3 linked regions of the Coturnix japonica genome follow. The protein of the gene in region 3 purifies or fractionates together with the protein of the main gene of each other region. This does not show direct contact. Links are inferred from orthologs where the notes say so. Each region holds a gene or a part of one and is shown on either strand. Other genes may lie near its edges.

Region 1 (4,309 bases), on a different chromosome or scaffold from region 3:
AACAGCCTGACAAGCATCAGATGAATATCACTGAATCCAAAGCTGTTACCTTAAAATAAGATGTTGGCCTTGTACCACTTCAGCCCTTATACCTTAAGCAACAAGGAAGCACCAGTTCCCTCTCCATAGTTCACTCCCATTGTGCTCAGTGGAGACCTCATTCACTGAATTTGACGATTAGTTCCTTCATCACAGGAAAGGTAAAAAACCAAAATCAGTATTAATAACAAACTCCTGTCTTTAAAGGAGCAGATAGCACTTTTTAGCATAACAAGTTTTTGTTTGCTTGAGCCAAAGAGAACAGGATGAAAGGATTGCATCTCATCTCAAGAAATCTCATCTTCAGATTATAGCCCTCCTGTTAAGAACTAAATCAAACAGCAAATGAGGAAGTACTTTAATTTCTCAGTTGAAATTATTATTTTTCATTCTTTTCCACACAACCCAGTTTGAAACCCTGGCAAATTACAAGCTCCTCTGGTCTTCTATCAAGCCTGACTCCCATCACTACCCAATGGCAGCCTGAAAGAAAGTGGTCAGGCAGTGGAATGGGCTGCCTGGGGAGGTTCTGGAGTCACCAACCCCACAGGTGTTCAAGGAACATCTGGACGTTGTGTTGAGGGACATGGTTTAGTGAGAACTATTGGTGACGGGTGGATGGTTGGACTGGGTGATGCTGTGGGTCTTTCCCCCAACCTTGGTGATTGTATTTTCATAGAAAATATTCTTTAAACATCATCCCAATGCAATTGTTTCTATCACCTACCCATGCAGAGGCAAACTAAATGCAGCTCCTGCAGAAAAATATTGTTTTTTATACCACAAGTCAGAGCTAAGACACTGTCTCCAATACAAGGTGAGTGTCCTGGAATACTGTGCAAATGAATACCTTTGTTACAGTAAATAGTAAAACACGGCCTCAATGAACAGTGAGCTGCTCCATTTCACTCAGTGCTTTGTTGGTTTAGCCTACGTTTGCAGGCAAACGGGCTCAAGACCTGGTTTCATGCTGAAGACAAAAAAGCAAACCCAAACAGAACTAGTAAGATCTAATCGTCATTAATATTTAATCATCTATAAAAAAGAAACCAGCACTTCTAGTTTACATCTCATTGCACACGATCAAAGCAGGCCTTCAGTTTTAACACAGGACACAGTAACACCCTTCAAGGGACAGTGAAGAAATACACTCAAGCCACCAGAACAGGGATGTGGATCAGGATTTCAACTCACACTGCACCTATCTTTTCAGTCTCACCAAAAGCAAAGCCCATCACAGTCAACGTTTGTGGTCTAGAATCCTCTCAAAAACCACATCACATTTTCAAAACACTTTTCAATATATAAAAACAAAGTGAAATTCTGGAGAATCCCACACTTCTCCACGTAAAGCAGGAAGCAGAAGCACTGGTTCAATTTGACAACCCACATCAGCTTTATTAGACCGTTGTGTTTACAAGAATTAGCGGTAGCGGTGCAGCTGCAGGGTATTACGCCTTCTCCAGGCGGCACGACGTGAGCCACCAATGGTGTGATGGAATTTGTGGCCCTTGCCAAGACCGCGGCTCTTCCTCCCGGCTGACGTCAGCCCACGCATCTCTCTGTGCTTGTGAACGGGCTTGGTGATCCATTGGGTATCGGGGTTGCGCCGGATGGCCTTGTGGAAGGGATCGATCAGGATCACCTCAAAAAACTTGTAAGTGGAATCTTCACCCACCCAGTAGGAGTTCAAGACTCTCAGAGCCCCACAGTGACGGCCAGCACGCTCCTACAGGAGAAAAAGAAATGCCAAATGCTGTACAAGCATGGAAACAGGGGTGCTCTTCATGCAGAACGATATATATAACCAAAACCTTATTTTGTTTTCTAGCATTTTTCATTTGCTCTGAGCTAAACGCTCTCCTGATAAAAACCACACGGTCTCTGGCAACAAAAACACCTGAAAAAGTCACGTTTAAAGAAACGCTGTATTGAAAAAAGGCTGCTGGGATTCTTAAGTGAGACGGGTTTTAAATGAATGCATTTGGTTGGCAAAATAAAGAACTCTTCCACATGCAGAAAAGCCCCGGGAGTAAATGCAGAGTTAAAACTTAAGATCATGAGCCACACTTGGGGCCGTGGAACACTTGTGAAAATTGCAAAAGACCAATCAATCTGAATGTCCAAAATTATAAAGGAAAAAGGCCTGCAGGACAAAAGCCCAAATTGATAAGAAAAAAAGAGGAACAGTTGCTGTATGCAGCCTTCAACACGCTATTCTGATTCTTGGCTGTGGTTGGAAAGAAACAGCCCTTGTTTAGGATGCAAAGCAGGAAATAAGTTGAGTTAGAGAACTCCATCTGCCTCTCCTGTCATGACCTCCTTTTTCACCCTAGGACATTATCATCATCACTATAGATCCATCCAGCCTCTATCCCAAACCTATTACTACAGATGTCCATCAGCTTACAACTTCTCACATATATCATGTATTTTCTTCAAGTTCTTCTAGCGAGTAAGTCCAGTGACACATTTTGAACCAATTTGATGGCGACCAATCCCCATTAGCTAGCTTCTATGTGGGGATGACAGTGACAATCAAGGTTTGGCACTTCTAGAACAGTTTTACCTGAAGAATAGAAGCTTTCTAGGAGAACACAAGCCAGATTCACAACTGTTCGGACTAAAATCAAAGGGCCAACCACCTCTTTCCATGAGCTGTCACCACAACCAAGCAGTCACCAGACATTTGGGAATAGCATATATGAAGAACACACCGTGAGTACTCAAATAGAGCTTTTTTAATTAAAACTCATCACTTTTGTTAATAAATAAAAAGGAAATGAATGCTATAACCACCCTGTATGCAACTTCCTGACACTTGCTTTTTGGTTCTGGGAGAAGCCATCTGCTTAGAGATGTGCGACAACTGGGAATGCTCATTGCCTTTACAATGCCTCTTTCGGGCAGCACTGATCAGTACTGCTCTAAGTTTTGCATTTTGGTTTCTTTCCCTACACAAGATGTACAACTGCGGCGTTAGGAAACTTAAAACTTCTCCTGGATGGAAAGTCTCCACTTTATTTTAGCAGGTAGCAACATAGTTTAACAATCTGAACTCCCAATCTTCAAGCTTATGAGCTACCAGAGGTATTTTTAACCTCAATACACCTCTGTCATGCTGTTTTCAGATAGTATGATACAGCTAAGTACTCTGCTCAGCACTCCTACTATACAAACAGGTGCTACAGTCTTTAAGACAGGAATTTAGCCGTGTTTTGTGAAGGGCTCATTGTCTGAAGCTGGTAACACACACAACATGGTGGGGAACACAAAGGCGGGATTTAGCGGTGACTGCAGCCACACAGTTCAGCATGTTTGAATTCCAATTTCTCATCCCCAGCCTTTTGTTTTTCAGGCCTTTGTCAGTCGTATGTCTTTCATTCTAAGTATTGCAGCATGCTTCTGAAAGAAGCATAACCCCACAAACTTCAACAAACCACCTCAGTGGCTCTTTCCACATCCCATACGTGCAGAGTGTGATAGGTTTCTCTCATCTGTCTCAATGCAGCTTTTCAAGACATTCTGGTGCTCTCCTGCCATCAATATTTGAGATCCTTTACCTAATACGTTACAGAATGGTTCCTGTTTGGTCACTAAGCATTTTCCACTTTTACAGACTAAGTGTGACCCCCACAACCCTAATTTTCTGAGCAATAACCAAAACAATCACCTCTGCTACAGACTGAAGGCTGCGGGCAAACTTCAGCTGGTTGACACCATGATGCACAGGCTTCCCATAGGTTGCACCTTTTGGGACAGGGCGCTTACGACCACCACGGCGAACACGGACACGGTAGATAACATAACCTAGAAGAAATGGCCATATTAGTGTAGCAAGCACACGTTATGCTAAGGCAACCTGCATGATCATGTTGAACTTCCAACCCCAAAAGCTCTGCATGAAATGCTGCAATAAAGCAGTTTATACTTATCTTTATACTTTATACTTATCTCCAGTGAAATGTACAGTTCTTAAGTCATTAGCACAGAACATTTGTGTTACTTCCATTGAAAATGAATAGAGTGATGTACGGTTGTCAGGACTTCTTTAGATCCAAACCAAAGCTTACAGCACCTTTCCATTCTGCATTTCCATATAAACTAATAACACCAATGCCATAACACAACAAAAATCCCCCCCAACCCCTCATCCCCAGAAAGCAATAAAATCACCCCAAAACTGAAGGGCCATGCAGTAAATGCACCATTCAAAAGCACTGAAGCACAAGTTATCCATAAACACTACTGAAATGTGAGGAAATGAAGC
Region 2 (4,848 bases), on a different chromosome or scaffold from region 3:
ATGTAATATCGTTGTACATTAACACTGCAATGAGAGCACGGCTGCGGACTCGGGAAGAATGCAAGGAAACACTCGTTAATAGTTTGCACTGAGATTCTTCCCCTAATGAGGAGATGCAAAGTGTCCATGAGCTGCCGTCAGTCTGCTCGTTGTAAGGCAGCACGGCTCTTTTATGAAGGGAGAAAATACAAGTAAATGCAAAAAAAACTAAGAAGGTTCAGCTGGTACAAGTGAGACGTGGCTCAACATCACCTATCTCCTATTCCCACACTGACACGACAGAGTAAAGCTCACAATGACTCAAAGCAACGCGTGCAGCCCGGCCAGGAGGATGCACGGTAACACGGGACGTGCAAACTACGGCCATACATGCACCCACCCACCGTCACAGCTCGCCCCGACCCAAAGCGACGAGCCTTCAGCCAGCACGATACACACAGGAGCGCACTGCGGCAGCAGCCACACGTCTGTGCATCGCTACAACCGCAAAGCGCCCCCGGCCCCGCTGTGCCCGCCGTGCCGGTACGAGCCCCCGCCCGGCTCCCCGCATCCAGCCCGGGGCACCGCACCGCACTCACCCGCACCGCCGAACCACCGGGCTACGCCGCCGCTCTGCGCTTCCGCTTCCGGCCGCCAGCGGGCAGCGATCGCAACGGGAACAGAGCGGTGTGTGTGTGTGATGGCTGCACACAGGGCACGGGTCAGCTCTGCTGTGCTACAGCCGTGCCTGCTGCAGGGCAGGACAAGGCACGAACACAAGGCAAAGCGCCTCGTGGTGCCTGTACAAGTGGGTTTTATGTGTGTAAGTGTGAGGAATGAGCACAACAAATGGTGAGGCCGCTGCTGCGTTGTGTGCTGGTGCTGTGAGCCATGGCAGGCTGCTTGATATGGAGCTGTTCATTGGGACTGTCCGGCCGTGCAGGGTGATCCCGTGTACCTGCCCTGCAGTGACACCTCAGTGCACAGAGCTCGGCTGTGCTATGTTAAGGCAGAGATTGGAGCCACGGCTGCACGGCACCGAGCACACACTGCTGTTAACAGGCCTGACTGAAGCCACACAAACCCCATTCACCTCAATGGCAACCACCAGCCGATCTCATCCTTCCTCAAAACGCAGCCCATCCTCTCCCTCCCTGCTGACTCCTAATAGCAGCGGCTCGGTTCTATTACGGCATTAAAGCCATTTCTTGCTACGATCCATCTGACTCATCCTGCCGTGAGCCGCTTCCAGCCCTACTCCTCCAGCCATTCCATCAGCCATTCCCCCGGCACCGCCCGGCCGCCATCCTTGCGCTGAGCGCTGCCGTTGTGCAGCCCCGCACGGCGCGGGGCAGATAAGGCGGCTATGGGGCGCTATGGGGCGGTATGGGGCAGCAGCCCGTAGTGCCGAGTCATGCTGGCTGTGCGGGCGGCCCGGGAAGGCGGGACGGGCGGCACGGCCCGGGAGCGGCGCGCCCGTGTCCTCGCGAGATCGGCCCCGCTATAAAGGGGCGGCGCGGCGGGGGCTGCGGCACTTGGCGGCTTCCTGCTGGAGTGCGGGGACAGGAGCTTTGTGTGAGTGGGGGCGGGGGGCGCTGGGGGGCAGGGGGGTGTTGGGGCTGCACGTTGCTTTCGCTCACGGCTTTGCTCCCATTTCTCTTTTCCCTGTCCGCGGGGAGGTGTAGAGCCAAGCCCGCTCCGAGCAGCGCTGTGCAGGGATTGCTGCTTTCTGCAGCCGTTTGGCGTGTATTGTTTTCCTTTTTCCTCCCTTAAAAGAAAGGGTTATGGGGCGGATTGGGTCTGGGCACGGGCTGCCCGTGAGGAGGAGCGGCGGGGGCCGCTCGGAGCGGGGCTGGACTGAGCCGGGCCTCGGGCGGTGCGGCGCGGTCCGGCTGCGGGCCGCTGTGCGGTTCGTGCCTGCCCGGCTGGGGGCAGCCCCGCCCTCCTCGCACCGCAGCTCGGTCCGTTCACTGTAGCGATGTAGGGCTGGGGAAGGGTAGGCTCGCTCCCGTCGGAGTGTCCTAAAGGTATGAATTTCCAGTTGGAATGCAGGCACGGCTTGTTGTAATTGTAGCGAGGCCGCGAGCAGCCCAGGCGCTCTGAGCTGGTGCAGCTGCGTTTCGCTTGCAGCGCCGTGCTTCTGCTTCTAGAACGGCAGGACCTCGCACGCAGTCTGTGCTCCGCTCCTCGGCGGATTAGGAAGCGCTGTGGCTGTAAATCCAAGCAGAGCACGCGGCTGTGTGCTGCTGTGCCCGGCAGAGCAGGCCGTGCCAAATTGCAGCTGCTTTCTTCACTGCACTTGCTGCAGTTCTTGCAGTAGGAGACCACTGAGTCCTATAACCTGATGTTAAAGGCTTGCAGGTTGTTTGAAAAGGGACAATAATTCCTTCATCAGAAAGGGGAAGTATCAGAGAGCCGTCTGACTGCTTAGATTTGACCCTGGTATTACGCTCCAGGGAAGCGCTGATGGAACAAATATAGGTCTGGCGTAGTACTGAGCAAAGGGATGACCTTGAGCTTGAGTACAGGGAAAGAATGTAATTCCGTGGTAAAACACGGGGTCATGTACTGCAGATAAAGCAGGTATTGCTTAAAAGACAGAACTTTCTGGCTGAGGGTCTGACAAATGCTGTGCAATGGCAGTTTCAGACTTGCATCTGCATTTGTGGCTCCATGAAGTGATCGGAAGGATTATTAATGTCATCATTCTAGACCGTTTCAGTATCCTCTTATGAATGCCTTGCAGTTCTGGCTACCTTGGTTCATAAGATTCTGTCCTGGTTCGCTGCATTTGAAGGTGAACCCTTCGGATGAGCTGGGAATGTGGAACTCTTTGTACGAGGCAGTTAATTGTGCTGAGTAAGGTGGCATTTTGCAAAGCAAAATGAAGGAGGGGGTTACTGTCCATCCTCTCTGCATGTGAGAGGAGCCTTCAAATGTTAAACTCCTCATAGAAGCTCTAAATTGATCAGTTTAACTTGAATAGAAATTCTTATGACATGTGAGGTAATTCTCCTGGAGCTGTGGCAAGGGAGAAGGAGGCAAGAAATGAAGTGCATCTGCCCTGTTCTGGAATGGACTTTGTGCCATGCAAGCAGGGTTTTTAAGGTCTTTGAAACTCAGCTTTCTGTAGCAATATGAGACTCAGTAATACTAACAGCTCAGGGGCTTGTGTCTCCGTGCCAGATAATTCTTTTGCAGCATGTAAAATGGCTTCAGTGAGATCACTTAAAGACTGAGCTGAGGGAATGAGGTTCATGAAGTTTTGTATTTGAAAGGCAGTGCTCTGCAGGGAACTGGGATTCTGAAGTGCTGCATCTGCACACTGAGCAAAAGTGCTGTACAGAACGTGTCTGCAAAGGACTGGACTTAGGATTGATGGCCAGAAGTAAACTTCTCTTGGCCTCATGCACACTCTTACTCTTTTTCAATAGACTGAAATGCTCAGGGGAACCAGCCTGGCTGCACTGGTTTAAGAGTTTGTGAGCCTGTAGTTGTTAATATGAACTGTAGATCAAAATCACGAGTCTTTTGTTTGTAAATAAAACAAGGCTTCTTTGTTTGCAAGGCTGAAGAGTAGTTATGGAGAGTGTTGGTCTCTTAGAGACTAATCAAACTCTGCTTGGAAATAAGGTTTGAGGTCTTACATTCCTTTGTGAATTTGAACAAGAGTCTCATCATCAGAATTTAGGAAGAAAGACTTAATAGCTCATCCACCTATTGGAACAAAGGCTTAGTGTGGATACAGCTAAAACTCTAGGCAGCTGGCTCGCTTCTAGCCTGTAATGAGCTGTTCCTGGTCAAAGATAACTGTGTCCTTAGGAAACTAACATGCCTTAAAGAATGTGCTTAGTAGTTTCATCTGGATACCTGACTACCCAGGTGATAAGCTTAAAATGAGTTTTGCTCTTAAGCCTTGCTGCCAGATCAAATGCTGATATACTGCCCCATTGATAATTAAACTGATATGATGCTTTGCACCTGGAAGTAAGATGTATTCAAACTATTCAGCTATCTAAACTGCGCTGTTAATTCTTTTCCAGATTAAATCAAGATGTCTTCAGGAAAGGCTTTCATTGGAAAACCAGCCCCTGAGTTTACTGCCACAGCAGTAATGCCAGATGGGCAATTCAAGGATATCAAGCTCTCTGACTATAGAGGTGGGCTTATGTACATCTAATTATGCAAATGCAGTCTCCCCTTGTGCAGGGGATGGGAGGTGGGGAGGGGGAGCATCTAATGAAGCCTTTGGTTTGGTTTCCAAGTAACAGTGACCACTTGACTGTAGTTAATTTACAGTGATTTTGTTCATTGCCAACTGGAATGTGTTTGGGAAGCTGTTGACAGCATGACTGAATGTCCTAATTATGATGATTGTTGGTTATTAGCATGAAATTCCTCTAAAATAGAACAACTAAGTTTTATCCTAGATTCAGGCATTTTGAGTCTGATATAACAGCTTCAAAACAGGTGAAACTACAAGATCTTGTTTATTTGTTGGTGGAAAGTAGAATTCCCTCTAACTAAAGAAGCTTCTTTCTGCTGAAGTACTAGAAAACTATTGTGTCACTCCTTGCAGGCTTGGTACTGCTGTAGAACCTAATGTAAGAGATTAACTGGTGACATTGCTCTTCTAGGGAAATACGTTGTGTTCTTCTTCTACCCTCTGGATTTCACTTTTGTTTGTCCAACTGAAATCATCGCATACAGCGACAGAGCTGATGAATTCAGGAAAATTAACTGTGAAATAATTGGAGCTTCTGTTGATTCTCACTTCTGTCACCTTGCCTGGTAAGAATCAGCCTTTTAACATTAGACATTACTGTGCCTGGCCTCAGTTCTTACAGGAACTGGATTCTGAGTATTCAG
Region 3 (4,815 bases):
GAAATCATGGAATAACTTATGGACCTTAAAGTCCACTTATCTCCACTCCCTGCCATGGGCAGGACCGCACCCAACAGCTCAGGCTGCCCAGAGCCCCATTCAGCCTGGCCCTGAACACTTACAGGGATGGGGCATCCACATCTTCCCTGGGCAGCCCGTGCCCCAGCATCTCAACACCCTCTGAGCCAAGAATAGTAAATAATTTCCTCTTAATACCTAATCTCCACACCATCTGCAGCTTCAAAAAAGACTTACAGTCAATCACTTACCTATAGAAAGGTTTATGAAACATGTTCCACTAATGTTAAATCAACACCTGAAAAGACTCTTTCTTTTGTTATTAAGGGAAAGGCTTAGAATAAATAAAGCATTGTCTGCATAATCCTCTTGCAGACGAGAAAAACCAAACATTTCACCTCTAAATGGGGTACTTTTTACAGTAATAAAGCCTAGCATAATAAGAATTCTGCAACTGACAGTGGAGAGTACCAGCAGCCCAGCTCTCATTCGTTCAGTTTGCGCAACAGAAGCAAATCACAAATTAATAAACAATTATCAGTAGTCAGCTGACAGAAAGAAAAGACACCACGTGAATTTCTGCTCTGAAGAAACACATCCATTGGTGTAACCAAGAGATCGGTAATGCTCAGAGTGATTAACTTGATGAAAACTGAGCTGAGAGCTCTACATTTTGATTTGGGAAGTCGTGAGCTTTACCTGTCTTGTCTTTGCTGATGTTTCAATAAAAGGAATTCCGTAACTTCTTGCTAAATCCTGAGCTTGTTTTGTATCTACTGTTCTGGAAGGCAAATCACATTTGTTTCCTACTAGCACCATTGGGACGTCTTCAGAGTCTTTAACTCTTTTTATTTGTTCCCTAAAGAAAAAAAAAAAAAAAGATTTTATTTAACAGATATTGCTAGTTTATACAGTAGATTATGAAACACTAAAACAAATGAAATTATGGCATTTCAGCATCATTCCTTATGTTAACTCAATGCACATTCACTACAAGAAGCTACTAAAAAATAAATACATTGATCAAGTCCTGTCACCACCAAGTTTATTACTTTATTCTGAAAAGGCTGGCATGGTGCACCAAGTGTTTCTATCAGCAGTGCTCAGGAAGCCAAACTGCCACAGCTTCTCATGTCACTACACAATAACTCTCCCCAGGAACAACAGTTAATGTCAGCTCCAGTACAAATCTTACTACTGATCTCCCATACTTTAGGCTTACAATACCCAGTTCATTTGCTGAGATAAAACAGTCAAAAGCCCTCTGCCTGTGCTGTGTTTTTCAGGTTAGGTCAGCATTATAAACTCTGAACCTAGATAAAGGGATTTAAAACTCCAAAAACCGCTGGCCTGGTTCTCTGACAAGAGAAATCTGGTACAGTGTCTTTTCAATGACTAGCTAGAAAATGTTTTCACAATACCATTTAGATGTACTCAAAGAACCTCAAATAACAATCATTTATTTCTTCTTCTCTTATTGTCAATGTTCTCAGTTAGTTATTTAGAAATATTCAGTTTCAGTCTTCAAAGTCACCTGTAGGTATGTGAATGCACAGGAGGAACTCCTGTGTTCAACTCATTGTACAAAGCTAAAACACAGAAGGCCTTCCTGTGCAAGTCTACAAATGCTTCTTTATTAAACTTTAAATGCGAACTTCACACTCCTTTTTGCCTTATGTCAACACCTTATCGTTTCCTTCCTCCTCTACAGACAGAGGAAACTCCTTTCTAACAATCTGGTTAGGCAATGAAGAGAGATGTAGGGTGTTTTACTGAGAGCAATAGATAATTTAAATTTGTCATCTCTACTTGAGAACTCCAAACTACCAGCTTAGCTACTCAAATCAACAACTGCACTACCAAATGAACTGAACTGCAAGCTATGCAATCTAGACAGCTACAGCCCTCACTCTGATTACCTCAAACTGTCGTGCCATCTCACCTTAAGTGAAGAACAGCAACTTCAATTTGTTACTAAATGGGCAACTTCTGTTTAAAAGTAAATGTTGAGTTTGTGGTTACTACTTACAGCAAGTCACACCTATGCTGTACAGCAACATAAACTCAACAGCATGTTAAATACCTGTATGGGAAATCACAGCTTGAACCTCTGATTAATCAGCTGAGGCAAGTGTTGGGTCAGCTGTGGGAGCACAGGTGAGAGTAATGTAGCTGTGCTCCCGGAAGGGGTGGACTTCAACTCCACCTCCTCTGAGACCTCATTTAAGGGCTGACCACCACTGAGGCAGCATCTCTTGGAGATTGCTCCCCAGTTGAGACTGCCTCAGCTTTCTGGTCAAGGCATCGACATTGGTGAGTTTTCCTTTGCTAATAACCTTTGACTATTTACCACCATCTTGGTTAACATCTTTATATTAGCCACCCTTACAATACCTAACTTGGAATAGCTTAACTTATACATTTGGGACCAACCTTAAACTTATGCTGCTAAAAAATCAGTGATCTTCGGTGGGATTTGTCTTCTAACACAACTCCCAAGCAGAATTCAATGGAATATGAAGCTATAACTGGCCTGGTACTGCTAATAAAAGAAGAGACTGCTTCTATTTCCATTTTAGTGTAGCTGACATCAAGCAAGGATGAGTTTCAATTGTTAACAAACTCAATCAGCCATCGTCCTGGATGTGAAATTTCATATGGGTATCCTTGTTATTTTTTTCGTTAAGGCATCAGAGCCCACACGTTACCATTTAAGTACCCACTTATGTATCCAAATACCCTTGCATGGGTATTTTCCTCCTCTTCCCCCAGAGAAGAAAGGCTAACAACATATCGTCTGTGAAATTTAAACTGTGTAAGTTTCCCATCTATAACCCTCAATTTTATTTATGGGATAAGCAGCATTTACCTTCAGATAATTTCTTACTATATAAATAATACCAACTAAGGCAGTCACGCTCATCCATAACAGAAGAGCTTTTAAATACGTTGCCTGCTCCGCTCCAGAATGAAACAACAGATTTTCAATTACCGAAAATTACAGACTTCCAAATGGACAAGTAAATTGCAGCATCGCTAATTTGCAAATTTCCCTTTAAGTGCTATTTCATGAGAGGTCAATTCATTATCCAGTGTAAAAGCAAGCAACCCACGCAGCTAATACAAGAGTTAGTCATTTATCTTTCAGCATACACACCTATAATGGTGAATATCTTCAAAAGATTTTGTATTGTTTATAGCAAATACACACAGAAAGCCTTCTCCTGTTCTCATATATTGGTCCCTCATTGCGCTATATTCTTCTTGACCTGCTGTATCAAGAATATCCAAGAGACAGGTTTCCCCATCAATTACTACTTGCTTTCTGTAGGAATCCTAAAGAAAAGAGAGAGAAAAAACAACGCGGTTAAATATAAACAAAGTTTATAAGCATAGATAGCTCTAAAGATATTAAAGTTGTTTACTGGAAGTTGATCATAACTGAAAACACTGATAATCCAATTTTACAGATAGGCAAATGACAGCGTAAGAACATTGGTAGTCCATATTTATGTTTAGATATTAACCCAGAAATGGAAATACCACTGGAAGGACTTGTTCTGATCTGCATCCTGCATCTTCAGCAAGCAGTACTGCACGCGTATGCACGTGTGCACATACACACTGCACTCTTATTTCTCATCTTGTACAAAGGGACACAAAGTACAAATTGGATCCAGATCAAAAGCCTCTCCCTTTGTTCATATGAGAATTGAAGAAAGCTCTAATCCTGATTTTAAACGATTTAACTATAAGCTTACTCCATTTACAACAAAAGAAAACTAAGTGCAATGTGACCTTCATTCTATGGATGTTAATAAAACCATCATGCCACAGCAATGTGCAAAATAATAGAGAGAGTTCAAAGCAGAACAACTACGTCAAAAATCTACACCTCTGAAAAAGAAGTAAGGCATAAGAAGCCTTCAGAGTTTGAGGCAGAAAAAGCTGTTTTGTATCCCTAAACGGCCGCATATAACGTTTGTTATTAAATTACCAAAACAGTCAATACATTTGAAGTTCAAGTTTTTCATACGAGACACAGCAACACAAAGCACAGAGTCACACAAAAGCCCTGATAGGTTCCGAGAGATGTTGGAACAAATTATTTCAACACCATCAACTCAAAAGTTTTCAGGTCACTGATTCAAGTAGCTGAAGTCTGTACAGAGTCCCAGGCAGCTAAAAGTGATGCCTTTCAGTGCTAGGCCTCTGTAAGCACATAATTATAGCAATAACAGGAGCACGTGAGCGTTATTTTTTCATCCAAACCTCTATTTTCTATAAGCACTCTCTATTATGATAAGTCCATGTCAATAAACTTTAAAAATGTCACTGAGTACCACAAATTATTCTCAGTAAACAATACTCATAGCAAATAAAAGGTATCAAGAGGAAATCACGGCATAACCTTCCAGATCCTTCAGCTAGAGATTAACATAATATTGCTTGTGTTCTTGTTATATAAGCAGGATCTTTTTAATACCCTCCAAAAAACAAAACTAAGCTACTGTGAGAGGAGCTGAAACTGCAATTCTAGCCAGTTTCAAGATGAATTCTGAACGACCTTCCTTCTTTTGCATCGATTTTAAGCACTATGTACTGTGCACTTTATTAATTTGGTGGTTTGGTTTGTTTTTTAACACTGAAGTTTGTTCTTTCTTGTTGCCAATCCTAAAATCAAGCAGGAGACAGCTGTATAGAATCAGGATGTTCAAGTAAACAAGTGCCGGGCTCTCATTTATCTCAAGCCTGGATGATGGTAATTCAACAATATCAGGTAAAACGATACTGATT

Evidence for each region.
Region 1: the proteins of KRAS (region 3) and RPL15 purify together in Homo sapiens (affinity purification with mass spectrometry; 3 studies listed by BioGRID and IntAct, with this or other methods). This does not show direct contact. The link is inferred for Coturnix japonica from reciprocal best matches to the Homo sapiens genes KRAS and RPL15.
Region 2: the proteins of KRAS (region 3) and PRDX1 purify together in Homo sapiens (affinity purification with mass spectrometry; 3 studies listed by BioGRID and IntAct, with this or other methods). This does not show direct contact. The link is inferred for Coturnix japonica from reciprocal best matches to the Homo sapiens genes KRAS and PRDX1.

Annotation. Positions count from the first base shown.
Region 1 is NC_029517.1:34,138,198-34,142,506, reverse strand, and holds the end of RPL15 (60S ribosomal protein L15), read right to left. Parts: intron 3,850-4,309; coding exon 3,713-3,849; intron 1,769-3,712; coding exon 1,463-1,768; 3' UTR 1,412-1,462; downstream 1-1,411.
Region 2 is NC_029523.1:18,752,860-18,757,707, reverse strand, and holds the start of PRDX1 (peroxiredoxin-1), read left to right. Parts: upstream 1-1,422; 5' UTR 1,423-1,554; intron 1,555-4,022; 5' UTR 4,023-4,033; coding exon 4,034-4,139; intron 4,140-4,616; coding exon 4,617-4,770; intron 4,771-4,848. UniProt on the Homo sapiens protein: Thiol-specific peroxidase that catalyzes the reduction of hydrogen peroxide and organic hydroperoxides to water and alcohols, respectively.
Region 3 is NC_029516.1:61,761,754-61,766,568, forward strand, and holds part of KRAS (GTPase KRas), read right to left. Parts: intron 3,355-4,815; coding exon 3,176-3,354; intron 878-3,175; coding exon 718-877; intron 1-717. UniProt on the Homo sapiens protein: Ras proteins bind GDP/GTP and possess intrinsic GTPase activity. Plays an important role in the regulation of cell proliferation.